Linked DNA regions of Oryctolagus cuniculus. The protein of the gene in region 1 interacts with the protein of each later gene in a biochemical or structural test. Links are inferred from orthologs where the notes say so. Each region holds a gene or a part of one and is shown on either strand. Other genes may lie near its edges. The genes, in order: CASP3, HCLS1, GSN, granzyme B, PARP1, PANX1 and BIRC2.

Region 1 (3,500 bases):
CCCTCCAATGGCCGCCGCGGCCGGCACGCTGTGGCTGGCACACCGCGCTGATCCGATGGCAGGAGCCAGGTGCTTCTCCTGGTCTCCCATGGGGTGCAGGGCCCAAGCACTTGGGCCATCCTCCACTGCACTCCCTGGCCTCAGCAGAGAGCTGGCCTGGAAGAGGGGCAACCGGGACAGAATCCGGTGCCCCGACCTGTACTAGAACCCGGTGTGCCGGCGCCGCTAGGTGGAGGATTAGCCTAGTGAGCTGTGGTGCCGGCCTCCAGTAGTAGTATTCTGTACCACCCTGGAAATTATAAACTTGTTTAGTAATGCTAAACAATAGCATTATAGCAGTTCCATTAATTAGTTTAAAGATGCAGCAATGTTTGTTTAGCAAAGGTAGAACTTGAACTTTTGAAATGCAGTCCCATTTTAAAGCGTTTTTCTTATCTAGTTGTCATTAAATCTTTTTAAAGTGATCCACACTCTTCCTGTTTTTCATGTCATGACATCATTTAAATGGCAAGTGCATAGGACCGCTGACAGTTTTGCGTTGTTCTGATGCTATGGTAAGCCGCCTGCACATTCCCAGGCCCTTTGAGTCTGCTACTGGTAGAGTCCCGACCTCAGGAGATGGGCGTTAATAATTCAGTGATCCATTCTCTGCATGACCTGAGGGTCAAATCACTGGGCTTTCAGAGTTTTCATATTCAGGGCTGTTCATCTCTACCTGACTGATAGTAAATTTTTACTGCTTTTAACCTTTTTCCAACAACATGTTTAGAACTATGCATACAGCAGCCCCATCTCTGTAGGATATGTTCCAAAACCCACAGAGAATCTGAAAGTGCAGATGGTACCAGACCCTGTGTGTCCTGTGTCTTTCCCTCTGCCTAAGCACCTCTGATAAAGTATAGGTTATTAATGAAGCACAGCTAGAGATGAACAGCTGTCGAGAAAACAGAACAGTTATAACAATGTACCTTAATAAAACTTGCTTAAACATTATAAGTTATTTCTGGAATTTTCCATCTAAAATGTTCAGAAGATGGTTGACCATGGTTAACCACAAAAAGGCAGAAGCTTGGATGAGGGGGGACGAGTGTAGTGTGAACTAGTCTTAAGATTCAGTGCATGAGTCTGGCTCTTCCCAGGCCTGCTGTTTCCTGATTCTTGGTGCAGATCAGTGGCTAGGACTCTGGAATATCCTTGGGGTGTGTTTCTGTCAGTTTTCTTGGGACATAACTACATCTGTGCCCTCTCATACTCTCCTGGCGGATTTCTGCAGCTACTGAGTAGGCACAGCAGAGACCTGACGGCCCACATCGCAAACACCAACTGTTTGGCCCTTTAAGAAAAAGTTTATTCATTCCTGGTCCAGGTAGCAGAGGTTTTTCAGCATAGTGACTTCCAGACAAGAATGTTACGTTAGGGCTCCTATGTGTTAGTAAATTCTGTGTATTAATAAGATACTAATTTGTTCAGCTCATAGTGTCTAAGAAATAACTGAGGAATTATAATAATTGTGCTTTGAGTCATATTTACAATTTGTTGGTTTCTGTCATTTCAAGGTAACTTAAGATTTTACTCTTGAGTCCGGCGCCATAGCTCAATAGCTAATCCTCTGCCTGCGGCACCAGCACACCGGGTTCTAGTCCTGGTCGGAGCACTGGATTCTGTCCCGGTTGCCCCTCTTCCAGGTCAGCTCTCTGCTGTGGCCAGGGAGTGCAGTGGAGGATGGCCCAAGTGCTTGGGCCCTGCACCCCATGGGAGACCAGGAGAAGCACCTGGCTCCTGGCTTCAGATCAGTGTGGTGCGCCGGCCGCGGCGGCCATTGGAGGGTGAACCAACGGAAAAGGAAGACCTTTCTCTCTGTCTGTCTCTCTCACTGTCCACTCTGCCTGTCAAAAAAAAAAAAAAGATTTTACTCTTGAAGGATAAAATATTTGGCAAAGTTTCAAGAAATTTTTTAAATTATAGAATGTGCTTGGTACCATTTTGTTAAAATTTAAAGGGAACATAAAACATACGAAAAGCCTGAACTCTGAAGTCCAGTGATGGTTCCTTTTCTGCAGACTGCGACACAGTCTCCGCACAGCCTCGTGCACACTGCTTAGCCTCACAGCAGGTAATTTCCTCATCTGTAAAATGGGTTGTTGTGAAATGTAGGTGAGGAAAAGCCTGCAACACAAAATGTGATTTGTAATATGCAACAAGTGTTAGCTGTTCTTCTGAGTTATGAAAGCTGTACTAATGTGAACAGAAGGATCGGGCATTTCCACCTGTGTAAACTGTTGTTTCATTTCCAAACAGAAAAATCATACATGGAAGCAAATCAATGGACTCTGGAATATCCTTGGACAATAGTTACAAAATGGATTATCCTGAAATGGGTTTATGCATAATCATTAACAACAAGAACTTTCATAAAAACACTGGTATGTATCTTATATAATTTTTAGTCCCCTAATAGTACATTTTAGAATGTTGTTAGAGAATATAGAAAATAAAATTCCTCAGAGTCCCAAAAAGCCAATTAGCATTTTGATGTATTACTTAATATTTTTTCTTGACAGTTTTTCTGAAAACCATGATTTTATTCATAACAAGCAAGCAATGTACCCTGGTTGTTACACTTAATGTAATACAAGTTTTTTTTAATGTTGCTGTGTAATTTTTATTTTTTTTTTAAGATTTATGTATTCATTTGAAAGTGTGACAGAGAGAGAGAGAAAGAATCTTTCATCCACTGGTTCACTCCCTAAATGGTGGCAAAAGACAGGAGCCTGGAATTACCTCCAGGTCTCCCTCATGTGTGGTAAGGGCTCAAGCACTGTCCATCTTCTGCTGCCTTCCCAAGTGCATTAGCAGAGAACCAAATCAGAAGTGGAGCATCTGGGACTCGAACTGGTGCTCACATGGAACGCCAGTGTCACAGGTGGTAGCTTAACCCACTGCGCCACAACACCAGCCCCATATGTTATTTTAATAGTTACAGAATACCACATCCCCTAAACATAACTATACTAATAGTATAGTATTATACTATATACTATAAATATATACTATAAGTGAATAACTTACCACAGAGAAGAGCATTTTGGCTGTTTCCCTGTTTTTCATGTTTTAAATTGATGCTGTGATAATTCCTCAAATTGTCTTATTAACCAACTTAGAATTAATTTTTAAGTTAGACCAACTACATGTAGTGAATCTAATTTAGGAAAAAATTTATGAGAGTGATAAAAAAAAAAAAGTGACAAGCCAGACTACACTGGAAAGATAGGGTTTGGTGCTGAAGAGCAGGTGAAATTTGGTCTCCAAATCCAACAGCACCATTTTTATTGCTTTGGGTTGTATGCTATCAACTTCAATTATTAAATAAAAGACAAAACTTTCTTTTTGCTCTGTTTTTTAAAAAAAATGTACTTACATTCTGCTTCATATTGCCAGTCACAAAGCCTTCCTGCTGTAGAACTTTGCACCTTACCCCGGAGAACCTCTTCTTAAAGCAC
Region 2 (4,137 bases), on another chromosome or scaffold:
TCAATCCCTCATTCGGAATGAACTTGGAATATTTGCTAAGAAGAGGTGGAGTTTCTTGGTGTCATCTCTGATAATTTCCATGGTTTCTCTAGCAAATTATGTACCTGGATGATGTCAGTATCTGGTCTGATAATTCCTATTTTTATCATTTTAGATTCCAAATGATCTGAAAGATTTTTTTCTCCTCCTACAAATTTATTCTCCTTTAGCATAACTTTGGTGCCACCATGATAAATAGATAATGAACTAGAAGAGATAGGTCCTTACTCTAACTTTTGATAGATCCATACTTAGGTCTTTAGATTTGGAAGTGACCTTTGACCAATTTTATCCAGTCCTGCTTGAACCCCTTGTGGATCTCATGACTTACACAAGCAAATCAGTTCCAAACTCTGCAGACATGATTAGGTGAGGCTAGATCAGATACAACAAGAAACACCCAAATTCTTGGTAGCTGAAACCAAAGACTATTTTTTAGTTAAAGGCTCCAAGTCCCTTATGTGATAGATGGGGCTGTACTCGTGTTGTCATTGTCGCTCAGGAAACTTAGGCTAGCAGAGAAGCTACACTGGAGAATTACAAGTTGTTTCAGTGTGCAGTAAGCGAAAGAGATGGCAAAGCTTGCAATGGGCTTCAGGTCTCCACCAAAAAGGGGGTATTTCCCTGGCCAGTACCTGTCACCTGTGCACATTTGTCGAGGGATGGGAGGACAGCCAGTCTTGACAAATATTAAGACAGGACATGGCCGATACCTTCCATCCACTGATGGCACCTGCTGCTTTCAGAATTCTCCATACTATCTGGAGCCAAATCTTCACCTGTGAGCTCAGATGCCACACTGTCCCCAACATGAACATTTCCTCCTCCACGCCTTGCCCTTTCCCTCCTGACTTGTCCCCTTCTGCCATTCAGGTGAGTGATGTTTATTTGAGCATCTACTATATGCAAACCCTACTTTTGAGTGCTGTGGGTCATGCAGAAGTTGTTCTTAGAGCTTACCCTTCAAAATCCACAGTCACTTTTCCCTTCCAGCCTTTCTTGGTTACCACAGCCCCTCCCAGAAGCTCCGGATGCCTTTACTGTCACAGATGGAACTGACCAGCTATTTAGGTCACAAGTGCTGTTCTCCAGCATTGTCTGATGGGTTTCTGAGTGAAGCTTTCTCTGACTGCTTGATAAAGTCTGAAAGTTGGAGCAACATTCTCCGTGCCGATCCCACAATCCTCAGAAGCTTACAAAAGAAGAGACAGAGAAACATTTAATCCTCTTTTATTTAAGTGGTTAAAGCAGAAGGAACTGACTCCAACTTCAGGAAGTAGCTGTGAGGACAGTGTGGCAGGAAATGACAGAAAACCTGAAGACGGAACTGAAGCAGCAGCTCGGTTTCTCGCTCAGAAGTGGCAGCAACCAGACAGGGAGTGTGGTGTGGACGTGAGGAGCCTGGAGCTTAGAGAAGACACCCTCGCTAGTGAAGGTGGGTACTCTGAGCCATGGGAGAGCTGGGAGCACAGGGTGGGGGTTGAGGAGGAAACCACCTGAGTGTTAGTCCCCAGGGAGGGACTAGGTCACTGCCAGTAGGCGTTTAACCTTTTATGGTCAGAAGGCCTGAGGCTGGGTAGGGGGTGGGGAAGGGTTGTAGAGAACAAGCAGCTGGGGATTGGAACAGAAGGGCTCAAGCCCTGGAAACGTGACTTAGTGGCCATCTGGCCATCTCTAGTCCACCGTGAGGCCTGATGCCAAGTTGGGAGGAGGGGTACAGGCTGTAAAGACCGTGTCTGCCCTTGAAAACACGGTCCGGCAAAGAGACAAAACCCACAGGAAGCAGTTGCTCATGCACACTTGCGCTGAGAACCAGCTGCTGATGGAGGCCTGAGGAAGGCGTGATGGTTGGATTGGGGTATTTCCTGTGCTTATAGGATCATCGAGGCCCAGAATGTCAGAGATGGAGTCGGTTTTCTAGACTAGCTAAGTTAACCCCTACTTTTGCTTTCTGTTGAGGAAGTCAGAGATAATAGGTGGTTTGCCAAATCATTTAAATGAACATTTGTGAACCATCTTGTCTGTTGCTTGGCAAATGAGAACATCCTCTGTGTTGATTCCTTTACCATGGCCCCACAGAGGCTCCAACACAGAGCTGGGCTGCTCACGGGTCTCCTGGCTCCTAGGTCATGTACTGCCATGTCAGCATTGAGCTGAGGTCCTGGATGTGCCCGACCTCCTGGGGCCATGCCTCTCCACATCACCCTCTAGTCTCCTGCCCCCAGAGAGCACCCTTTGCCTTCCCAACTTCTCGTCAGTAGGTCAGTTGTTCTGTGTCAGCAACTCTTTATGCCACAAGTAGACAGACACAGATGGGAAGTTTGTTGGCAAGTCGCGCTGAGGCTGGGAAGAAAGGCAGGAAAGTCGAAGGAGCCATCGGTCCTCATTGCTTCCTTATTGCTCGCGACTATTTCAGAAACTTCTCCTTTCCTATTTTGTAGTGAAGGCCTTTTGTTGCAGAGCAGCCCAGGAGCCAGTGTGGGAAGCAGAGGGCTTGTAAAGGATGCAGGAGGATAGGGCTTGTTTATCTGCCCCCTTTATGTAACTTTGCCCTCCCAGGGAAGACCAAGCCGCTCTGGGCAGTGGCTCACCCCGTGGTAAGGCCGCCTCGGTCAATACTTCCCCAGTGCCCCTGGAGCATCTCAGTAACCAAAATCTACCAGAGACTTCCCCGGGGCTGGTTTTCAGGGTTGTTCAAAGACTATGGAAAAGGATGGACTTTTCAAGTAGAAGAGAAAACTAGAGAATGCAAGGGCCAAGGTGGAGAGACAGGAGAGCCCCAGGAGGGGTGGCAAATGGGGGTCCTTGCAGGGACCTTGAAGAGCTTGGGGGAAGGGCTCTGGGAAGGGGGACATGGGTAGGGAAGTTTCCAGATAGTAGGCGGTGCCTGAGTCCAGTAGTCTCAGTGGCCCTGGGAAACATGAGTGGTCCATTGGCACCTTTTCCTACCAAGCCCAGAGCAGCTGTTCTACTGCTTCTCTCGCACAGTTAGCAAGGCTCACTGGTACACTGGGGATGCCCCAACAGAATACGATTTGGAACCCCTTCAGACCAGTACTCCGTAAATTTTTTAAACATTCATTTTGTTGCTAATAATCCAATGCCTCCTAATGGTCAAAATAAAGGATGTATTATTTGTAAAATACATGATATGCTTTGAACCATTTATGTTTTTAGAATTGTAATCAACTTTTTATTTTTTTTTAAAGCCAGTCCATAGAGGGCCTCAGAGCTGCTGCTGTGTTTTGTAAATTTTTATTTTCATCTACTTGAAAGGCAAAGTGACAGAGACAGAGATAAGGTCGGGGTCGGGGAGAGAGAGATCAATTTTCCATCCACTGGTTCACTCTCCAAGTGCACCAGCCAGGTTGAAGCCAGCAGCCCAGAACCTCTTCCAGGTCTCTCACTTGGATGGTAGCATTTGAGCCATCATGTGCTGCCCACTAGGATGTATTAGTAGGAAGCTGGTTTGGAAGCAGAGTAGCGGGACTTGCACTGGCACTCCAGTATGGGATGTGGGTGTTGAACAAGGCTGCTTAAAGCAATACACTGTAACTCCCACCCCTGACAGCTTTTAAAAGTTGGGTAATGAGTAACTTATTCCCAGCAGCTAATGCTTCCCTGCATGTTGTTGGATGTGAGCATTTCAGCTGACTGTCCCCATTGACCTCCCAAGCTGTGCGGTGACCAGTCTCAAGAGAGAACGTGGGGCTGGTGCCGCAGCTCACTAGGCTAATCATCTGCCTTGCGGCGCCGGCACACCGGGTTCTAGTCCCGGTTGGGGCGCCGGATTCTGTCCCGGTTGCCCCTCTTCCAGGCCAGCTCTCTGCTGTGGCCAGGGAGTGCAGTGGAGGATGGCCCAAGTGCTTGGGCCCCGCACCCACATGGGAGACCAGGATAAGTACCTGGCTCCTGCCTTCGGATCAGCGCAGTGCACCGGCCGCAGCGTGCCGGCCGTGGCGGCCATTGGAGGGTGAACCAATGGCAAAGGAAGACCTTTCTCTCTCTCTCTCACTGTCCACTCTGCCTGACCAAAAAAAAAAAAAAAAAAGAGAACGTGGGACAGCACTTGGACTGAGGCTGGAAAAAATCTCAATA
Region 3 (4,199 bases), on another chromosome or scaffold:
CCGGGGTGGGTGACCGGGCTGTGTGTGCGGTGCAGGGAGAGGAGCTCCCACCAGCCTCGCAGCCAGGCCATCCAGGCCGATTTAATCCTTGGTCCCCATTTATGCGCATTTAGTAGACGAGACCTGCAGAAAGAAAGAAACTTAGGTACAGCGGAGGTGGGTACCCATCCCAGGTCTCCAACCGTCTCTTTCTGTTTCCTGTCACCGCACCAGGTTGCAGGAGGGAGGGGACTATTTGGAATGCAAAGAACACTTAGATTGGGAGCAGGTGGGTCTGGCCGAGGGGTGGGGAGTGGGATGGGGGGAACTGGGAAATACACCAAGGGGAGCCGGAAGGGTGCTTCTCCTAAGCCAGTGTGCCTCTAGTATGAGTGTGTGTGTGTGTGTGTGTGTGTGTGTGTGTCCTAACCCAGTGACCATGCCTCCAGTGGTGTGTATGTGTGTCCTAACCCAGTGACCATGCCTCTAGCGGTGAGGGGAAGGGGAGAAGAGACACAATCCTGGCTTCCCCAGGAGGGCTCCGTAGAGGGTGCCTAAAATGGATAAAACCCTTCTAGAAGCATGAGGGCCTGTTATCTGGACACGAGAAGGCGAGCCCTGCCTGCTTAGGAGGCAGATGGGGAGGCCGGTGCCCCTGGGGAGGGGCAGCGTTGTACAAAGTTGGGACCTTATGTTTTGCTCAGAAGAAAAAAACAAAAATGTTTCAACGTTTATTTAAAAAAACAAAAATGTTTTTGAAAAGCAGGAAAGAAAGGCCACCTTGAGTAAAGTAGAACCAGCAATCCCAGGGCTTCAGAGTCTGGCCCGCCCCTCTCTGAGCCCTGCCTGCCTCTCCTGGCACGGCTGCCCCAGCTGGTGGCCCTGGCAGGCTGCCCGGGACTGGTTCTACCCAGCCCCAGACCCAGTCACATTGTGACAGCACTGCTTGTAAGCAAGTTGCTTACCCACTGCACTCTCAGTCTGCCCCTCTATGAAATGGGCTGTCAGCAGCACACACTCTGTAAAGGATGTCCTGGTGTGTCGGTTTGCTATGTGTTCCTTCGATGTCAGCTTTCTGCTGGAAATACCAGGAGCAGAGCAGGAAGAGGGCTTGCTGAGGTCACTCGGGAGAAAAAGACTGAGCTGTGCTCCCCACAATTCCTTGGTGTGCCCATTTAGCATGCACTTAGTTAGCATCTGCTGTATGCCAAGCTCTGTGCTAAGTTTCCGCCCCGCAGCTGGGGTGCAGGGGCGGCCGCGCCCAGTCGGGTCGGATTCAGTGGGAACCCAGATGTCTCCAAGATCCCTGACAGATCCCCGCCCCGGGGGCCCGCTGGGGGCCCAGCCCTGCCCCGCGCCCTCCCTGCGGGGCGGTCCGGGCTTGGGCGGGATGGGCGGGCGGCTACTTAAGGGCTGCGATCCCAGGGCCGGGGCTGCGGGTCCTCTGCTGTCGCCGCCGCCATGGCTCCGCACCGCTCCGCGCGCGCGCTGCTCGGCGCGCTGGTCCTGGCGCTGTGCGCCCTGTCGCCGCCGGCCCTCGCGGCCACCGCATCGCAGAGGGTGGCTCCGGCACGGACGCCCCAGGCGCGGGTGAGTGCCCCGGGGGGCCCGGGGCTCCCGGAGTAACTCTCTATTGTAAGTTCTTGCAGATACAGCGCTAGGAAAAGGGGAGTAATTCAGGTCTAGAATGGAAAAACTGTTTTGTTGCTTTGTAAGTATCTCTTGCTGCTCCAGGGCTCGGCGGAGGGCGGGAGCCTGGGGGCCCTGGCTGCGTCCCTACGCGAAGGCTAACCTCACCTTGGCCGGAATTCTCCTCCCTCCCACCTTCTGATTTCTTACCCATCTCTGCCACCTGATTTCTCCTTTCCTTGCCTAAGGTCTCCTTCCCACTGCCTGTCTTCTTCCATCTCCCCCTCCTCTGATGGCTCCCGCCCTCCCCGGCATCTCCCTCTGTCTTATGTGTCCTTTGGACCATCACAGGTTCTCACCTCCCTGCAGTCTCCCTTGCTCTGTTGAGTTTCTCCTCTCCCAGTGCTGTTCCACCCCCTGCCTGAGTGCCTCTCTCTGTCTCATTCCTCTCACTTCTCACGTTTTGTTGCCCCCAGATCTCCCCGGCCGAGGTGACCCATGCCTGCTGACTGCCACCCCCAGCTCCTGCCTAACCCCGCCGGCCGCCGTCTCTAGCCCCCCCTCCCCACCCTGCATGTCTCACAGCCTCTGCCCTTCCTTGGGTACCTCGCCTTCAGCAGGCTCCTGCAGACCCCCGGGGGGATGTCAAAAAATGGAATTTGGGGGTGGGGTGTTGGGGGGCAGGAGGGAGGAGGCAGACAGCGCAGGAGGCCACTTGGGCTCAGCCGTTCAGACCCTTCCTGGGGGGTGTGAAGGGGATGGAGGGGGCACAGGAAATTGTCCCACGTGGGACAGAGGCACACAGGCTGCAGACGTTGAGCTGTCCCCTCCCCTCTTTGGGCCTCTGTGTGCCTATTTGCACAGTAGGGGTGGATAAGGAGCACTCTGAGAGCCCTTTAATCTTAAGAGCCGTGGAGGGTGCTGGAAGGGAGCAAGCTAAGCCCCTGGGGACCCTTGGGTTTACCATTGCCATTTGGGGCGGGGGGCTACCCAACAGCCCGGAGCGTGGAGAAGTCCTTGCTCTGCTGTCACCTGGCTTGGGGTCCCTGTCACAGTCCCTGCTCCTGCCTGCACCTCAGTTAACATGGCCAGTGACAGTACCAAGGGGAGGGAGAGGGAGGTAGATCCCTCTGTCCTGTCCCCCGGGAGCTGAGTGGGAGGGCCAGGAGCTTGCAAGGCACAGGGTCTGGAGCCGAACCACTGGCCCTGTTCGCTAGCTCACCAGGACAGAGGCTCCTAGGAGGCAGACTCCCCTCGGGTGTGGAAAGAGCAGTGGCTCAAGTCGGACGCTCTTGGTGCTGGAACCAGCCTCCCTCGCGCCCGGGGTCTGTCCCTGCCGAGCCGAGCCGCGGGCCCCTGCTCAGGCACTGCCTGTCTCTCTCCAGCCCAGCAGCATGGTGGTGGAACACCCCGAGTTCCTCAAGGCAGGGAAGCAGCCTGGCCTGCAGATCTGGCGCGTGGAGAAGTTCGACCTGGTGCCTGTGCCGCCCAACCTCTATGGAGACTTCTTCATGGGCGATGCCTACGTCATCCTGAAGACGGTGCAGCTACGCAATGGGAACCTGCAGTACGACCTCCACTACTGGCTGGGTGAGGCTGCCCACCCATCCAGCCCCTGCCCAGCCCCTGGCAGGGCAGCTGGCTGTGGTCTGGAGCTTGCTGCTTTTTACTTAATGTGGAAGGCAGAGAGAGACACCCAGAGACAGACAAAGAGCTTGTCTATCAGTTGGTTCATTCTCCAGATGTCCACAACGGCTGGGACTGGGCCAGGCTGCAGCCAGGAGCACGGAACTCCATCCGGGTCTCCCACATGGTTGATAGGCCCCCGAGTACCCGAGGCATCACTGCTGCCTCCCAGGGTGCACGGTAGCAGGAAGCTAGAGCCAGAAGCAGAGCCAGGACTTGAACTCAGCACTCTGCTATGGCGTGTGGGCCTCCCAACTGGCATCTTAATTGCTGTGCCAAAAGCTCGCCCCTGATTATCATCAAGCAGACCCCTCCGTGGCTCCCGTCACCCCCAAGTTTGTCCTTCAGAGTCAGGGGCTCTGCTGTGGGGTGCTTTGAGCCCTGTCACCTGGCCGAGCCTCAGTTTCCTAATCCATACTTGAGTTCGTGCTCAGGAGAGCTGAACAGGAGTGCAGAGCAATGTATCAGAGCTAGGATGACCCTTAGAGAAAAATGGGGTCCAGGTACACTTCCTCCCTCCCCTGTACCCATTATATGGAGGGGTTAACCGAGGCTCACAAGAGGCAGGGGCTTGCTGGGCTTTCCCAGCTAGCCCAGGGCAGTGCTGGAGCTTCCTCCCTGGGTGGGATGGGGGGTGCCGGGACCCCTTTCAGGAAGCCTGGCTCATGCTGCCCTGCGTCGCCTAGGCAACGAGTGCAGCCAGGACGAGAGTGGGGCGGCCGCCATCTTCACCGTGCAGCTGGATGACTACCTGAACGGCCGGGCTGTGCAGCACCGTGAGACCCAGGGCTTCGAGTCGGCCACCTTCCTTGGCTACTTCAAGTCCGGCCTCAAGTACAAGGTGCGTGGGCCCCTACTTTGCTGGGGATGGGTGCGCTGACAGCAGGGCTCACTCAGGTGCACCT
Region 4 (4,009 bases), on another chromosome or scaffold:
GCAGATGGAAGACCTTTCTCTCTCTCCCTCTCTCTGTCTATAACTCTACTCTCAGATAAATAAAATCTTAAAAAATAAATAAATAAAAATGAATCTGACAAATTATAGGATAGATCACTTATGTTTCTATACACCAGCAATGAACAATCCAAAAAGGAAATTAAGAAAATAGCTCCATTTATGAGAGCACCTAAAAATAACAAAATACCTAGAATTAAATTAATGCAAAAACAGAAACTTGAGCCTTCAGAATCCAACCATTTAGAGATACTCGGTTGTTGCTATCACAGAAGTGGTCCTGGTCTACCTAGACACAACGTCCCACTTTCAGTGTAGTGAGAACATCAGCATAGTTTGTTTAGCAAACATTTACGGTGAACTGAACATGTGCTGGGCCTATGCTGTAAGTGTGACCCTCTGCACAGAAGACTGAGAACCCTAAAAAGACAATGGCTGACCTTTGTCTAGCATGCTTTCTGACTTGACATGGCATCAGTGATTTAGGAACCTGAGCATCCTTTGGGGAACCGTCTCTTTCTACCAGTTCATGTAGTCTGTGAGACTGGCCCCAAACTAACCTAAGATGTAGGAATGACCTAGGCTTATGAAATCAATGGATTTAATTCCTAGAATCACAGTAATTTGTTCATTTGGGTCAATCCACACCAACTGCAGGACTTTTGTTTTAAAAAAAAAGGTGGGGAGGGGAGAGGGGCATTTGTAATTAAGCATGATGTTTAAAAATCTCTCAGTAAAGACACTGCCACAATGAATGGGTCACTAGGTGGGCTCAGTAGATGGTGACCATGGTTTATCTCTGCCTTGTGTATCACTCTGTTGGCCTTGCAAAACTCTATTCCAGTCATTGGTGTTTCTGTCTCTTCCACCAGATGACCAGCTCTCTGTGGAAGGGAGGAGACATACCTCCAACATGCTCGGTCCTAACACAAAAGAAGGACCCAAACATTCATCTGCTGAAGGAATTGTCCTGATGGACTCAGGTGTCTGGGGCCTCCCACAGTCCTCACTTGTACCCTGGGGTTCCTGCTCTGGGCTGGGACAGGTGGTGGTTCGCTGTGAGTCAGCAGCTGTGGGTACCGATGCGGTCACTGCACGATTCTCACACAACCTCCTAGAAGACGTCATCAGGCTCAGGCAGTGGGGGTGGGGCGCTTTCATAGAAAGCTATCCACAAAGAAGTACCGGAAAACATGAGGTCACTGAGCCCACCCTGTCTCCTCTCTCCGCCCCCACCCCGGGAACTAAAAGAGAGTAAGGAGGAAGCATCAGCAGCTCCAAGCTGCGCAGTCTTTCCTGGGAAGATGCAGCCACTTCTGCTCCTGTTGGCCTTCTTCCTGCCCCCCTGGGCAGAGGCAGGTGAGTGCCCACCCCCGCCTCAGAGGCCTGACCCCACTCCACGGTAGGCACAGACCCCCTGCCCCCTCCTCACAACCTGACACGTCTTCTACCAGCAGCATTCTGAAGCCCCACTCCAGTGCCATACAGAACTCCAGGTACGAGGCTGGGTAACGGTCAGCCAGAAGGCTGTTCTCAACAAGGGCCAGGAGCTGCTATTTCCTCCTCTACACCCCTCCCCACTGACTGGAAAGCAAGACTTTCCTAGAAATGCATGACAGATGGGAAAAGAGAAAACATTAATTCTCCTGAAGAAGGTAGAGAGGACCTAGCTTCTGAGTCTGGGATGAGACAGCTGCTCCCTTCCCCATCTGCTTAGCAGAGACGCCCAAGGTCAGCTGACCCCAGAGTCGTAATCATTGCCCTAAGAACTCAGCCTGCCCAGGGGCAAGGCCCAGGTGAAGCCAGGGCAGGTGTGCCAAGTGGCTGGCTGGGGACAGGATGCCACAGGCACTTTAGCCTTTCCTCAGTCCCTGTCTCCAGCTCTGTTTTCTTCCCAGGCCTGTGGTGGCTCCCCTCCTTGCAGGGTTGAGCCACTGTGGAAGACCCGAACTTCTCTGCTTCCCAGAATCCTACCGGCACTGCCCTCCTAGCCCTCATCGACAGGTTAACACGGGCCACTGCTCCACGCAGCCAGTGAGCACTTACTGATGTCAGGCCTTAGGAGACAGGCTGTAACAATGTCTAGGTCCCTAAATTCAGCTCCTGGCCTGAGAAAGCACAACCATCCTAGACATCACAGGATGCATCAGGGTCTCAGAAGCTCACTGGAAACAAAGAGCTGGAGAGGAACCAGGAGGCACCTCTGGGTGTCACTGTCCCTAAGACAGGTATGCTCACCTCCGATGAAGTATTCAAGAAAGATTCATAGACCAAGAACTCTTTTCCTTCCCCTCTTCAGAGAAGGAGGATGAGGGTCCTTCCCCAATGCCCCTCTCACCTCAATGTCATTCCAGGCTCCCAGATGCCCAGCAGTATTGGAGCCATCAAGAAAATGCCCGCCCCCCCTGGGTGCACATGAGCAGGCAGACTTTTCCTGCAGGGGAGATCATCGGGGGACATGAGGCCAAACCTCACTCCCGCCCCTACATGGCCTATCTTCAGTACTGGAAAGATGGTATGAAGAGGACATGCGGAGGTTTCCTGGTACGAGAGGACTTTGTGCTGACAGCTGCTCACTGCCACGGAAGGTGAGGAACAGCACACAGCCCACTCCCCACCCCAAACCAGGAAAAGCTGCACAGAGACTCCCAGGGCTCGCAGGAACACGTGTGCAGGGGGCTCCTAAGAGGGTGAGAAAGAGGACAGGAGAGTCTTGTGGCAAAAGGCAGGTTGGTGCCAGAGGCCTTGCTCAAGTGGGGAAGAGCAGAGGGATCAACTCTGCCGTACTGAGAGCTAGGAGCTTGCTTTGGCATCAGAATGCAAAATGAAGAAACCCCGTGTGTTTTCCTGTGAGTAAGTGACCCCTGAGAACCAACAGCTACAACATTCCACCTCCACTGTTGAGAAGCGGAGGGCACAGACAGCTCAGCCCCAGGGGCCCCTGGTTTCCTGGATTCCCCCTCACCTGCAGCCCTACCCTGCCCCAGTTGTCAGCTGGTCCTCACAGCTCCTGGGCTGTCTCCCCTGTGCGTCCACGCCTCCCCATCCCCACTCTGCTCCCTGTGCAGCTCAATAAATGTCACCCTGGGGGCCCACAACATCAAGCAGCAGGAGAGGACGCAGCAGGTCATCCCCGTGAGAAGAGCCATCCCCCACAAGGACTACAACCCCGAGGACATCTCTAGAGACATCATGTTACTGCAGGTAGGGCACTCCCTGCTGCTTTTTTTCACCTTGGTCTGGTCGTTGTGCCTCCCACTGTGAGGCTGCTCCTTCCCTCCGTTCCATCCTGGCCACTTGGCCTGTTCCAGTGCTTCAAAGAGGGAAGACGGGGCAGCCCCATCATGGTATCCAGGTCCAGATGGCCACTGGCTGAGATGGACTATCTTGCCTCTTCTCAACAGCTGGAGAGAAAGGCCAAGCGGACTGCAGCTGTGCAGCCCATCAGCCTGCCCACAGGCAAAGCCCGGGTGAAGCCAGGGCAGGTGTGCCAAGTGGCCGGCTGGGGTTGTATCAACCCAAATGGCAGATACTCAGACACACTTCAGGAGGTGAAGCTGGCAGTGCAGGAGGACCAGCAATGCGAATCCCTCTTTGAAATGTATCAAAAAGACATTGAGATGTGCGTGGGGGACCCAAAGACCAAAAAATCTTCCTTTAAGGTGAGATTGAGCAGTCACCTGGTTTGCCTCTAGGGAGGGAGATGTTTGGGGGAAGATTTGGAACCTGGAGACCCAATCAGTGGGGGGCTCCCTCACCTACCAGCAGAAGCTTAGAGGGGAGCAGCCATAGCTGCCAAGTAACAAAGACCTCAGCAGCTACAAAGGGGAGTCTGTTGATTGCTGCTCCTCTGGAAGGATGGGTTTGCACATTTCTAAATGTGCAGAAATTGTAACAGGGGGGCTTCCTCAGAGCCGCCACCCACCACAGGATCTCGGCCCCCTGGTCTGCCTTCAGGTCTTTAAATAGTGGCCTGGAACTCCCTGAAGGA
Region 5 (3,500 bases), on another chromosome or scaffold:
CCTTAACGATGTCCACCAGGCCAAGGGTGGCGCTGAACACCTTCCCGCCTTTCTCCAGGACGTGTGCCGAGTGCTCCAGACCTGCCCCGGGGGAAAGCTCCTAGTTTTCTCTTGTCCTCTCGTCCCTGGGGGCCAGTGCTCTCAGGGAGAGGGGGTCTGCTGGTCTAGGGGTTTATGCCTGGTTGGACACATGAACAACATCTTTGCGAGGTGCCTCAAGAGACGCCCGTATCCTCAGGTCCGAGGCCCCACCTCCCCTCTGCTCACATCCCTGTCTGCTTACCAGAATCAGGATCGACGGCTGCACCTCCTTTGAGAGTTAATTTCATCCTCTTTTCAGATTTGTTCATACCTTGGAGTGGGACACAGAAATGTGAACATTTTTCTAAAGGCAGAAGACAACTGAGTAGCTTTCATGCACACGGCCTGCCAGCAAGGCATTAATGTACTGCCTCCCACCACCTCGAGAGCCGGCTGCCCTGGCCCAGTGAGAACTGATTTCAGAAAGCGGTGCAGGAAACACAGGGAGGCTCCATGTAAGCCAACCTAGCTGGCCTGGGATAGGCCCCTGAACTGGGGTAGGCCAGGGCAGGGCTGTGGACCCTCTTGGCTCCCGGCCCAGAAAGGGGCAGCTGGAGGCCCTCACCTTCCTCCACTGGTCCCTTGCTCTTCTTGGCGACAGCAGCCCCTGACTTTGGTTTTGGGGCCACTGCTTCAACAGGCTCTGCCTTCACCTCGGCCCCCCAGGGGGATAAGATGTGCGCTGAGAGCAACTCCTGCAGGCTCTTGGCGGAGCTGGAGACATCCTGGAGGAAGTCCTCAGCCACGACGCGGACGTTGGCTTCTCTGACTTCCTCCATTTTCTTATTCATCTTTTCCACTTCCTCTGTTCAAATTGAAAGGGGGTGAGTGCGTGTGTGCATGCAAAACTACACAGAAAGTTTAAAACTTCAAACAGGGGTAAACTCCCGGGGACTTGCAACCCTCATCATTCACTGTCCCCCTTCCCCCCACATCCATGAGCCAGGGCACCTGTCTCCAAACCGGCCCTCCCCCCCCCACATCCATGAGCCAGGGCACCTGTCTCCAAACCGGCCTATGGAACGAGAGATCGACAGGCACGCACTCCAGAGGGAAAATGACCCTGACATGAAACACCGATGTGAAGGCTGAGCACTGTTTCCCTGGCCCTGGGGACCAGCAGTGGGCACCTCACAGGGTGGCGACAGAGCAACCCTGTGCCTCCCAAACACACTGAGCCGCAAACTCTTGCTGTGGCAGCATGCGGAACACTGGCTTCCCTTCACAAGGGGCCTGACCAAGGGTGAGACGCATCTTTCCTCCATGAACGCCCCTCACGATTCCAAGGCACAGCCGCGCCATCCCCACCCCTGCCTGACAAGCAAGATGAGACTCACTCTGGGTGCTGATGCACAGCGAGGCCTTGCTGGCTGTCCCCGTCACCTTCCCCCCGAGTTTCTCGACGGCGGCCTTCACTTCGTCCTTGTTCCGGGACAGTTTCCCAAGGGTCAGGATCTTCATGTTGGACAGTGGCTTATCTGGGGAGGGAGAGGAGCATCATGAAGCATGGCCAACCCTGGCACTGCTCCCCAGGATGTGGTGGACGAGGAGCAGAACATGAAGCAGCGAGCTCCCAGGGCAAAGCCAGGGCAGACTGCAGTGTCCCTGATGGCCCCGGCACCCCTCTTTCACCCGCTTCTCCTTCAGGAAAAGGCTGTGAACATAGAGGCAAAGGACAAGCAGGGAAGCAGAGCACAGAACAGCGTCCTGCTGCCCAATGACCTACACATGACCCTTGACACAGGCAGGACCGGGCAAGGGTGGACTATGAGAGGCCATTCTATGAACAGGGCAGCTGTGGGCCGCCCTGGGTCTGCTCCACAGACTCGGAAGGCTGCAACACGGGCCACGGGACCAGGAGGCTGCAGCGGAGGGGGAGAAGGGCAGGTCACATGAACTTCCAAACCCTTCTGCTCTCCTCCTCCCACTTCATGTCTCCAAACAAACTGCAGTTCTTATTAAAAAGCAGCAGCCTTGCATTTGCAGTGCCCAGCGCCGGCCAAGCTGGAAAGCCTAGGATGGAAAGTGCCTTCTGCCTGCTCTAAATAATGTAGTGCTGGTGACATTTTCAGACCCGGAGGAGCTGCAGGGAGAAGTCCCACCTGCTCATTCTGGGAAGGCCGAGTCATTTAAAGGAAAACTGGCAAAGTCTCCAGAGAACAAAACCAGTGGGTTGGGTGTGAACTGGCAAGTGAGAGGAAAGCTGAGGAGGGACACCTGCATTTGGATCCAGGGTAACCATGCATGTGCCCTGCAGTGACCACAGGTGCCCTCCAGGGGGCAGGAAGGAGGCCTCTAAGGGGTTCATGCTCAGGGACGGAACCTTGTCCTCCACCCACCAAACTGTGGCCTTCACCTTACACTGTCCACGTGTCTCCAAGTAAAGGAGCAGAGGGTCTCCTCTGCCCGAACACTCGCTGATAGGGTTGTGCTTGCTGCTTAGGGTGCTCCTCCCTGGCCCTGCACATAACACAGACCCAAGCGTCTCACCAGGCACACCTGGTGGGGGCAGAGCGGTTGAGCCTCGGGAAAGCAGGAGCCCTGCAAGGAGGCTCTGTGTGGTCAGGCAGGACATCCTGAATGCCACTCCAGGTTAGGCTGCTGGCTGGTCTGTCCTAAGAAGCCCTGCCTAGCTTCCAGAGTAAGAAAGCATTTGTCCTTAATGCCTGCTCCCTGGGTTCCGCCCTCCAGATGCGTCAGGGCAAGGGAAGAGCCCTAACCCAGGCAGGTGGGGCTTCCCAGAGGACAGGCAGAGACCCCAGGCGGCTGCTCTCAGGTCACTGTAGAATCAGGGCTCAGAGGTCGGGGCGCCCAGCCCCTGGAGGTGTACCTGCTGGAGCGGAGGGAGTCACAGAAGCGGGGGCCGAGGCTGTGGAGGGAGGGGGTGCCGCTGCTGCCGGGGCGCTGCTCTCTGGGGGGAATATGCGGTCCTGCTTTTTGATCTTCAATTTCTTGAGGTAAGAGATTTCCCGGAATTCCTGAAGAATTTAAGTTTTAGTTTTTAAGAAACTAGTTCCCTCTATAAACGACCACCTAACAGGCCAAAAGAGATCTGGCTGGTGCAAATTCAAAGATCTCTTTTTCTAATAAAGAATGTAGAATAGGAAAATGGGAGGCTTCTAGGATGAAGGATGGCAGTTCTGCCACCATGGTACTTATGGCCAGTATTTCCATTTTATGATCAAATTGGCACTGCAGCTATGTTAAAAGAAGAGTCTTTTCCTTTAAGAAAATGAAAAACAAAATGACAGTTGATGATCTGGCCAGGGAACCACTGCTGGAGCCTATAACCACCTCCCCGGCCCCACTCATTTATTTTTTCCACGAGAGGGAGGCGAGTCTCTTATTCGGTGGTTTGTTCCCCAACTGTCCGCAACAGCTGGAGCTAGGCCAGGCCACAGGCAGGAACTGGGAACTCT
Region 6 (4,100 bases), on another chromosome or scaffold:
TTTTCCTTCCAGCTGGAAGACTCAACCTCCTGCCATCTGGAAAGCAAAAGAGAAACCCTGCTGACCACACCTGCCCAAAGATCAGCAGAACTGAAACTTTATTTTCCACAATGAATTTGGCCACTTCCTGACAAAAGGAACAACAGTACTGCACACCATAAGGTCAAATTCATCATCACCCTTTTTTTTCTTTTAAAGATTTATTTATTTATTCAAAAGTCAGAGTTACACAAAGAGAGGAGAACCAGAGAGAGAGAGAGAGAGAGAGAGAGAGAGAGGACTTTCATCCGATGGTTCACTCCCCAGATGGCCGCAACAGCTGGAGCTGCGCCGATCTGAAGCCAGGAGCCAGGAACCTCCTCCAGGTCCCCCACGCAGGTTCAGGGGTCAAAGGACTTGGGCCATCTTCTACTGCTATCCCAGGCCACAGCAGAGAGCTGGATCAGAAGAGGAGCAGCCGGGACTAGAACTGGCCCATACGGGATGCCAGCGCTTCAGACCAGGGTGTTAACCCGTTGCACCACAGCGCCGGCCCCCATCATCACCCTTTTCTAACCAAAGCTTCCTTCAATGCCACTATTTCCATCAACACAATCATCATCCTCCAATCAATCAAGCCTACAACCTTCGCAACAAGTTTAACCAGTTTCTGCCCATGATGGGCCTATTAAAATCCAGGCAGCCTGGGCAGGCGTTTAAGACACTGCTTGGGACGCCAGCATCCTATACCTAAACCGCATCCTGCTGTGAGTCCTGCCTCTGCTTTTGATTCAACTTCTGAGTAAAGCATACCCTGGGAAGCAGTGATGATGGCTCAAGTACTTGGGTCCCTGCCATGCACATGGGAGACTTGGATTGAGTTCTGGGTTCCGGGCTTTGGCCTGGACCAGCCCCAGCTATTGCGGGCATTTCGGGGAATGAACCGGCAGGTGGAAGATCTCTTTCTCCCTGTCTCCCTGCCTTTCAAATAAATGGAAAAAATAAAAACTCAGGTACCCAAGTGCTTCTTATTGTTCCTTGATCTGTCAGAAATCACCATCCCTTCCCATCACTCTTTGCACCACCATGTACAAGACCTCAATGGATTCCCACCCCATGGCCTCCAGGTCCCCTCGCTCCATCCTCTCCGCTGCTTCCCATGCAGACCCTGCTTGCCACAACCAGGCTATTGACTACTGACTGCTGCTTTCTACCAGTCTGTCTGTTCAAATCACTTCACCTGCCTGAGTCCATCAGGGCTCACTCTTGTGTCCTAACTCATCCAGGAACCTTTACTAACCTTCCTGCCTCGGCTAGGACAGCCACTGTGTCTCCCCTTACAGGAACGTGAATGCCCTCAGCCATCTCAAAATCTCAGCCAAGGTTTCACCTGTGCTCCTGCAACTCCCGCCCACCCTCTGACATAGCCCTCCCCAAGGTCCAGGGCCCCTGGTCTCCCCCACTACAGAACAGACTTCAGCACTTTCCCGTTGAGTCATTAACACTCTCTCCTGCGCCCTAAGTCTCAACAGCTGTTGAGGAACAGGAGCCACTTAGCCACGTGACCCTTCCCAAACCACCAGGGTTGCCAATCTGGTACTATGATGCAATCTAAACGTACATGAGGGGGACCTGCACATCTCGTATTCATAATACTGCTGTCCAAAGGCAGCCGCTTTCTGTCACTCCACAGTTCAAGTCTCAGGGAGTATCAATGAAATGTAAGGGAGTGAGGGAGGCCACGAGTTTCATGGAGCACCTGTCGTCACCACCTCTGCCTCTCTGCCTTCAGCTACCCAGTAACTTCTCTGGCACAAAATTTTAGGTGACTTTACAAACACGGGGACTGGGGTGGGGAAGTAAAAACGTGGGGGGGAGACGCTGGTTCTTGGCAAATCTGGTGGTAAATCCGTCAAGCAAACGGAACACGAACTATTAAGCCACAGTCTGATCATTCAGGCGCAGGGAACAAAAGAACTGAGGAGTGAGGGATGTGAGCATGGTTGACAAGGGTTCAAACCGCTTCGGACCCCAAATCTGGGCGAGTCCCAGGCCTGCGCCCCCGGAAAATCCCACCTCCCCGGAGCCCGCAGCTCGCAATAAGGCTGGCCCAGCCCCTCCGGCCCCCATATCTTACCGATGGAGATCTCCTGGGCGAAGGCCAGAGAAATGAGCAACAGTGGCAGCCCCACGGCGATGCAGGTGACCATCTTGTCCACGGCCAGCTCGAGCCGCAGCCCCTTGAACTTGGGCTCGGCGGGCTCCTTCAGCAAGAAGTCCGAGAACACGTATTCCGTGGCCAGGTGGGCGATGGCCATGGCTGCGGGGCGCGGGGCTCAGCCGGGCAGGACCGGGTGCCGCCGGCGTCGGGAGGGCGGCGCGGCGCCTTCACGCTGTCACCGGCCGGGCGCGCGGGTTTCGCTTTCCCTTCGCCGTGCGCCCCGCAGCTGCTCCCTCATCCTTGCCGCCTTTTGCGTCTAGGGCCGTCGGGCCCCCAGCGGCCTCCACTCGGCTCCCAACGCGCGGGCGCACGAGCTCTCCAGCTCCTGCCTGGAACGCCGGCCAAGCTCGACCCAGGCGCTTGGGGCCCAGCGGCTCCGCCCCGCGCGCTCAGCCCCGGCAGATCCCCCGGGGACGCCCCAAACCCGGGCTCCACGCCTCCGCTGCGAGCCCGTAGGCGCCAGCAACAACCAGGAACAAAGCGCTTCCCTGTGCCCAGTCCCCTGCGCGCGCCCCCGGCCGCTGCACGCCGTCCCAGCCCTCCGCGCTCTTCCGGAACCACCGGGGAAACCGAGTAGCAAGGGGCGTGGAGTTTCCGGAAGCGGCGCTGACGCGGGGCGGGGTGCACCCGCGCCCCTCGTGCCCGCCCAAGGAAAGAGCTTCCCAGCCAGGGGCATCTATGGGAATTTGCGGGGCCGTTGCATCCTCGTTTCCCTCCCATCCCCCCAGGGCCCGGGATTTTTAAAACCGTCTCTGTAAATGGCCTTTCCCCTGTGGACTCTTCTTGCGGCCCACGCACAACGTGTCTACACCGAGAGATCGGGTTAACAGGAGCTAAGAAGTTTCAAAGAACGGGTGCCTCGCAAGGCCGTTCGGGCCGCGCAGACCTTTCTCGGAGCTCCGCGGAGAGCGCTGCGCGTGCTGGGGTCTTGGGCCTCCATTAGCGCTGCGTGGCCCCCCGCGTCCCTTTCTCCTGCCTCTCCAGTCAGCCTTGCTCTGGAGCTGGTCGTGGGGTGCCTGCTGCGGGGGAGCCGCAGAGGGCAGCCCCTACACCTCTCCTAGGAAGCGGAGGATGAGAAAGGCAGGAGGAAATGCTCCCAACAGCAACCCCTGGAGCAGGCAGGACCTTCAAACGTGAGGGCTGCCTGCGGCCGGGCTTGGCTGGCGTCTCTGCTCTTTGCAAGCGCCAGGCCATGAGGAAGCCTCAGCTCATGGCCCCGGATCATCCTCTACACAGACAGCCAGGGGTCTGCATAACTCTCCACTCCGATGGAGCGTCCTGTGGGACTCCAAACTCCCAATGGCCGAGGTGTCACTCCTCATCTTCCCCTTCAACTTGAACTCTACTTCCCCATCTCACTGAAGGCACCACAACCCCCACTCCCCAACCCCAGCCCAGGCGCTCAAGCCAGAGTCCTAGAGCTGTGGTTAACATTTCCACCGCTCCCAGCCGCCAGACCTGTGCCCACATTCTCCTGCTTCCCCGTCTGACAGCCAGCAAATCTGACAGCACTGCCAACACCCGGATTCAGCTCCCCGTCCTGTCCCCTAAGCCCACTCAGAAACGTCCTCCCAGGGCCCCCCAAGCTGCTCTGTCCCACGGCTACGGGGAGAGAGTTTTTAAAAGCTCCAGTCTAGTCATCATACTCCGTACTTAAAGTGTACATCGCTTTTAGAATAAAACCCATATTTATTAACATGGCCACTGCTGACCTTGACACCATCCCTGCTAACCCCCTTCAGTTCCTCAGATCAGCCAGGCCCTTTCCCCTGCCCAAAACACCCCACAGTGGCCTGTGCCTGACCAACTCTCATTGACTCTCCTGTCATTGACTCTATGTCACTCTGCCAGGGAAACCTTGGAGTAGACAAACTAGGTTAGGTCCCTTTGTTAAATATGC
Region 7 (3,500 bases), on another chromosome or scaffold:
ATAAATAAAAGTTGAAACAATATTTTTCATCTTATGTTTTAGGTGTGAATTCTTGATACGCATGAAAGGGCAGGAGTTTGTTGATGAGATTCAAGCTAGATTTCCTCATCTTCTTGAACAGGTAAATATACTTTTTAAAAGTTAACAATATTGGATTCTACTGTATGATAATTTGACAGCCAGGCCAAAGCCAAGAACCAGGAACTTATGTGTGGGTGGCAGAGGCCCAACCACTTGGGCCATTTTCTGCTTTCCCATGTATTAGCAGGGAGCTGGATTAGAAATGGGGCAGCCAGGACTCAAATCGGTGCTCATATCAGATGCCAGCATTGCAGATGGTGGCTTAACTTGCTGTATCAAAATACTTTAATTTTTACTTTTGTATCCAATGTATTTGGTGAGGGCTTTCAAAAAAGATTCTTTTGAAAAAAATATCTTGTCACTGTACACATTTATGGTAGGGTTGGAGAAGGATCTTTCATCCTTTTACAGAAATTAACTTATTAGCAATTGAGACCTCTTGAGAGTAACCCATTCAAATGGAGTAAGAAACCATTTATATATTTTCCTACTTTGTTGAAATGGAAGATAATACCTGAATTCTAGTTTGGAAGTAGGGTAAGTTTAAGGAAACCTGTCCTATAGTTAGGATAAAACAAAGCAAAGTGAAGTGTATAAATTACCCAGTTTCGAGTATGTACAATTACTTAGGGTAAACTTAGTGTTCCTCTTTTCAGATTGAGATTTCTGATTTTACCTATTAGCTTTTCTTGTTTTATAGTTGTTGTCAACTTCAGACCCCCCTGGAGAAGAAAATGCTGATCCACCAAGTAAGTGTGAAATATTATTATTAGTGTAGAATGGGAATGTATATAATAATGTGAGGAATGAAAATATATTCTTAAAAAAAGAGATTCTGAAGTTACAGAGAAAAATACTGGGAAGTTAACTGGTAAACCTTAGGTACATACAAAGATTAATGGTATTTTGGGGATTCTAGAAAGTTTATATAGTTTAGTGCTGACATCTCAACAGGGGAGAAAAGACAGATGCAAAAGAAAAACAAATAGCTCAAAGCAATGTCAATAAGAATTGAAAATAATAAGCCCTCCTAAAGAGGAAAAGGTTGCTGTGAGCCAGCATGGTTTGGAAAAAGCCTGGTTCACATGATTTAAGAAGTGGCTTATATATTAGATATTTAGGTCAGGTATATAGTATTTCAATAATCTCTTTTGATTAGAATTTAGTTTTAGCCTATTGGTCTATTAGTTGATGTTCAGAATGTACATTTGAGGGTGGCTCACAAAGTTTCTGGAAAATGTAATTAAGAGATAATTTTACCGCAAAAGAAAAATGGAAACCTTTGCTTACAGAAGTCTTAAACTATCATAGAAAATGCATATTGTGAAACTGCAGATACAGTTGAGTTCTTTGTCCTTTTTAGGACTCCTTCTTTAGCTTCTCAGATGCCCCCAGACAATTGGTATTCTCCCATTTTCCTTTGCTCACTGCTCCTTTTTCAAACTTCAGTGGTCATTGCAAATTTATTTCTTCATTTCCCAAGACCCAGGCTGGAATGTCCAGCTCTCTGTTTAATTCTGTCTTTGGCTATGATAGAATTCTGAGTTAATAGGACCAAAACAAAATTTTCTCCTAATCCTTTATTCCTCAAGTTTGCTTCTCCTTGGGCTTCTCCATTTCAGTTAATGATACTCATTTGCTAAGATAAAAAAGATGCATCATCTCAGATTCCTCTCCTTTCTTTAGTCTGTATATGAGCAATTTTTTTTTTCTGCCTTCATAACACATCCCTCTCACTATTTCTCACCATCACCACTATCACCGTATTCAGATTGCCATCATCTTTTGTCATAGTAATAGGTTTCCCGGATGCCACTTTTACCTGATTTAAAGTCCATTTCCACAGAGCTGCTAGAGTTATCTTTTGAAAATACAAGTCACATTTTATCAGAGCTATGTTAAAAGCCTCCTAGACTATTCTAGCAAACTTAGAATAAAATATGAACACTTTGTAAAGCTCTCCATCTGGACGTTGTCCTCCCTTCCGTCCTTCTACCACCTTCCTTCTCTTCCTTGAACACGTGAAGGTTTTCCCTTGTTTTATGGCTTTTATACTTGTTATTCTCTTGCCTGCAAGACGTCTCATATATTTCCACAGCTTACTCTTTATTACTGTTTTAAATCTCTGGGTGTTCTCTTCCTCTCTCTTCTTTTTTTAAAGATTTTATTTTTATTTGAGAGTTACAGAGAGGAAGAGGCCGGCACTGTGGCTCACTAGGCTAATCCTCCGCGTGCAGCGCTGGTACTCTGGGTTCTGTCCCAGTTGCTCCTCTTCCAGTCCAGCTCTCTGCTGTGGCCCGGGAGTGCAGTGGAGGATGGCCCAGGTGCTTGGGCCCTGCACCCACATGGGAGACCTGGAGGAAGCACCCGGCTCCTGGCTACAGATCGGCGCAGTGTGCCGGCCGTAGCAACCATTTTGGGGGGTGAACCAACAGAAGGAAGACCTTTCTCTCTGTCTCTCTCTCTCACTGTCTAACTTTGCCTGTCAAAAAAAAAAAAAAGAAGAGGAAGAGACAGATCTTCCATCTGCTGGTTCACTCCTCAGATGGCTGCAACTGGCTGAAGCTAGGAGCCTAGAGCTTCTTCCAGGTCTCACAAGTCGGTAGAGGGGCTCATGAACTTGAGTCATCCTCCGTTGCTTTTCCCAGGTGAATTAGCAGGGAGCTGGATTGGAAGTGGAGTTGCTGGAACTCTAACCAGCACCCACATGGATGCTGGCTCACAGGCTGCAGCTTTACTCGCTATACCACAATTCTGGCCCCACTGAGTGTTCTCTTCAGACAGGGAGTCCACATAATGTCTTGGCAGTGTCGCACATAGCACTCATGTTGTTTTTTATTAATGTTTGTTATAACAACTTTCCAGCAGATGGCACTAAAGTGTCTTGAAGAATTAGGTCCACAGTTTTCACAAAACTGCCATATAGGCTAGCTTTGATGCTGTTATCAGAAAATGCTTCCCTGACCATTCTTATTTAAAATGCCCTCCAGGCTCTGAGTTTCTTGAATTAGTTTTTACTTTGGAGAGCACATGTCTCCATCTAAAACTATGGTTGTTTAACCATAGTTTTCACTGCACATTTAGATATGTTACAGGTGTAATACTCTTCCATTTTCTGTACTTCCCATTTTTATTTTCTCTGTCTCAGCTATCCACCCAACTAGGCCCTGTCCAGGCTTCAAATCCAAGCTCCAGTGTTACCTTTTCCATGAAGTCATTTTTATTTCCCCTGTCTTCCTAGCTGGAGACAATTTATAAATTCTAAGTTTGTACATGTTGCTGGTTTTCAAAAATGATTATCCATCAGAATCATTTGGGGAATTTAAAAAATTTAAAGATTCCTAAGCCTTATCCCTAAAGAGTTTGTTAATAAGTAGGTCTAAGATGTATCTTGGGAACTGATATTTTTAAAAAGTGTA

What was found.
Region 2: of the proteins of CASP3 (region 1) and HCLS1, one has a biochemical effect on the other in vitro, tested with the Homo sapiens proteins (2 studies listed by BioGRID). The link is inferred for Oryctolagus cuniculus from reciprocal best matches to the Homo sapiens genes CASP3 and HCLS1.
Region 3: of the proteins of CASP3 (region 1) and GSN, one has a biochemical effect on the other in vitro, tested with the Homo sapiens proteins (2 studies listed by BioGRID). The link is inferred for Oryctolagus cuniculus from reciprocal best matches to the Homo sapiens genes CASP3 and GSN.
Region 4: of the proteins of CASP3 (region 1) and granzyme B, one has a biochemical effect on the other in vitro, tested with the Homo sapiens proteins (2 studies listed by BioGRID). The link is inferred for Oryctolagus cuniculus from reciprocal best matches to the Homo sapiens genes CASP3 and GZMB.
Region 5: of the proteins of CASP3 (region 1) and PARP1, one has a biochemical effect on the other in vitro, tested with the Homo sapiens proteins (9 studies listed by BioGRID and IntAct). The link is inferred for Oryctolagus cuniculus from reciprocal best matches to the Homo sapiens genes CASP3 and PARP1.
Region 6: of the proteins of CASP3 (region 1) and PANX1, one has a biochemical effect on the other in vitro, tested with the Homo sapiens proteins (2 studies listed by IntAct). The link is inferred for Oryctolagus cuniculus from reciprocal best matches to the Homo sapiens genes CASP3 and PANX1.
Region 7: the proteins of CASP3 (region 1) and BIRC2 form a complex in vitro, tested with the Homo sapiens proteins (3 studies listed by BioGRID, with this or other methods). The link is inferred for Oryctolagus cuniculus from reciprocal best matches to the Homo sapiens genes CASP3 and BIRC2.

The regions. Positions count from the first base shown.
Region 1 is NC_091433.1:66,406,520-66,410,019, reverse strand, and holds part of CASP3 (caspase-3), read left to right. Parts: intron 1-2,298; coding exon 2,299-2,423; intron 2,424-3,500. UniProt on the Homo sapiens protein: Thiol protease that acts as a major effector caspase involved in the execution phase of apoptosis. Following cleavage and activation by initiator caspases (CASP8, CASP9 and/or CASP10), mediates execution of apoptosis by catalyzing cleavage of many proteins.
Region 2 is NC_091435.1:77,952,740-77,956,876, reverse strand, and holds the start of HCLS1 (hematopoietic lineage cell-specific protein), read left to right. Parts: upstream 1-1,337; 5' UTR 1,338-1,474; intron 1,475-4,137. UniProt on the Homo sapiens protein: Substrate of the antigen receptor-coupled tyrosine kinase. Plays a role in antigen receptor signaling for both clonal expansion and deletion in lymphoid cells. May also be involved in the regulation of gene expression.
Region 3 is NC_091432.1:225,292,520-225,296,718, forward strand, and holds the start of GSN (gelsolin), read left to right. Parts: upstream 1-1,399; 5' UTR 1,400-1,440; coding exon 1,441-1,569; intron 1,570-1,619; exon of another isoform or gene 1,620-1,666; coding exon of another isoform or gene 1,667-1,690; intron 1,691-2,993; coding exon 2,994-3,198; intron 3,199-3,980; coding exon 3,981-4,135; intron 4,136-4,199. UniProt on the Homo sapiens protein: Calcium-regulated, actin-modulating protein that binds to the plus (or barbed) ends of actin monomers or filaments, preventing monomer exchange (end-blocking or capping).
Region 4 is NC_091443.1:50,647,812-50,651,820, forward strand, and holds the start of granzyme B, read left to right. Parts: upstream 1-1,209; 5' UTR 1,210-1,211; coding exon 1,212-1,377; intron 1,378-2,458; coding exon 2,459-2,606; intron 2,607-3,086; coding exon 3,087-3,222; intron 3,223-3,422; coding exon 3,423-3,680; intron 3,681-4,009. UniProt on the Homo sapiens protein: Abundant protease in the cytosolic granules of cytotoxic T-cells and NK-cells which activates caspase-independent pyroptosis when delivered into the target cell through the immunological synapse. It cleaves after Asp.
Region 5 is NC_091444.1:39,045,832-39,049,331, reverse strand, and holds part of PARP1 (poly [ADP-ribose] polymerase 1), read right to left. Parts: intron 3,060-3,500; coding exon 2,912-3,059; intron 1,560-2,911; coding exon 1,419-1,559; intron 887-1,418; coding exon 647-886; intron 353-646; coding exon 284-352; intron 82-283; coding exon 1-81. UniProt on the Homo sapiens protein: Poly-ADP-ribosyltransferase that mediates poly-ADP-ribosylation of proteins and plays a key role in DNA repair.
Region 6 is NC_091432.1:85,311,893-85,315,992, reverse strand, and holds the start of PANX1 (pannexin-1), read right to left. Parts: upstream 2,801-4,100; 5' UTR 2,298-2,800; coding exon 2,117-2,297; intron 1-2,116. UniProt on the Homo sapiens protein: Ion channel involved in a variety of physiological functions such as blood pressure regulation, apoptotic cell clearance and oogenesis.
Region 7 is NC_091432.1:94,082,147-94,085,646, forward strand, and holds part of BIRC2 (baculoviral IAP repeat-containing protein 2), read left to right. Parts: intron 1-42; coding exon 43-121; intron 122-781; coding exon 782-830; intron 831-3,500. UniProt on the Homo sapiens protein: Multi-functional protein which regulates not only caspases and apoptosis, but also modulates inflammatory signaling and immunity, mitogenic kinase signaling, and cell proliferation, as well as cell invasion and metastasis.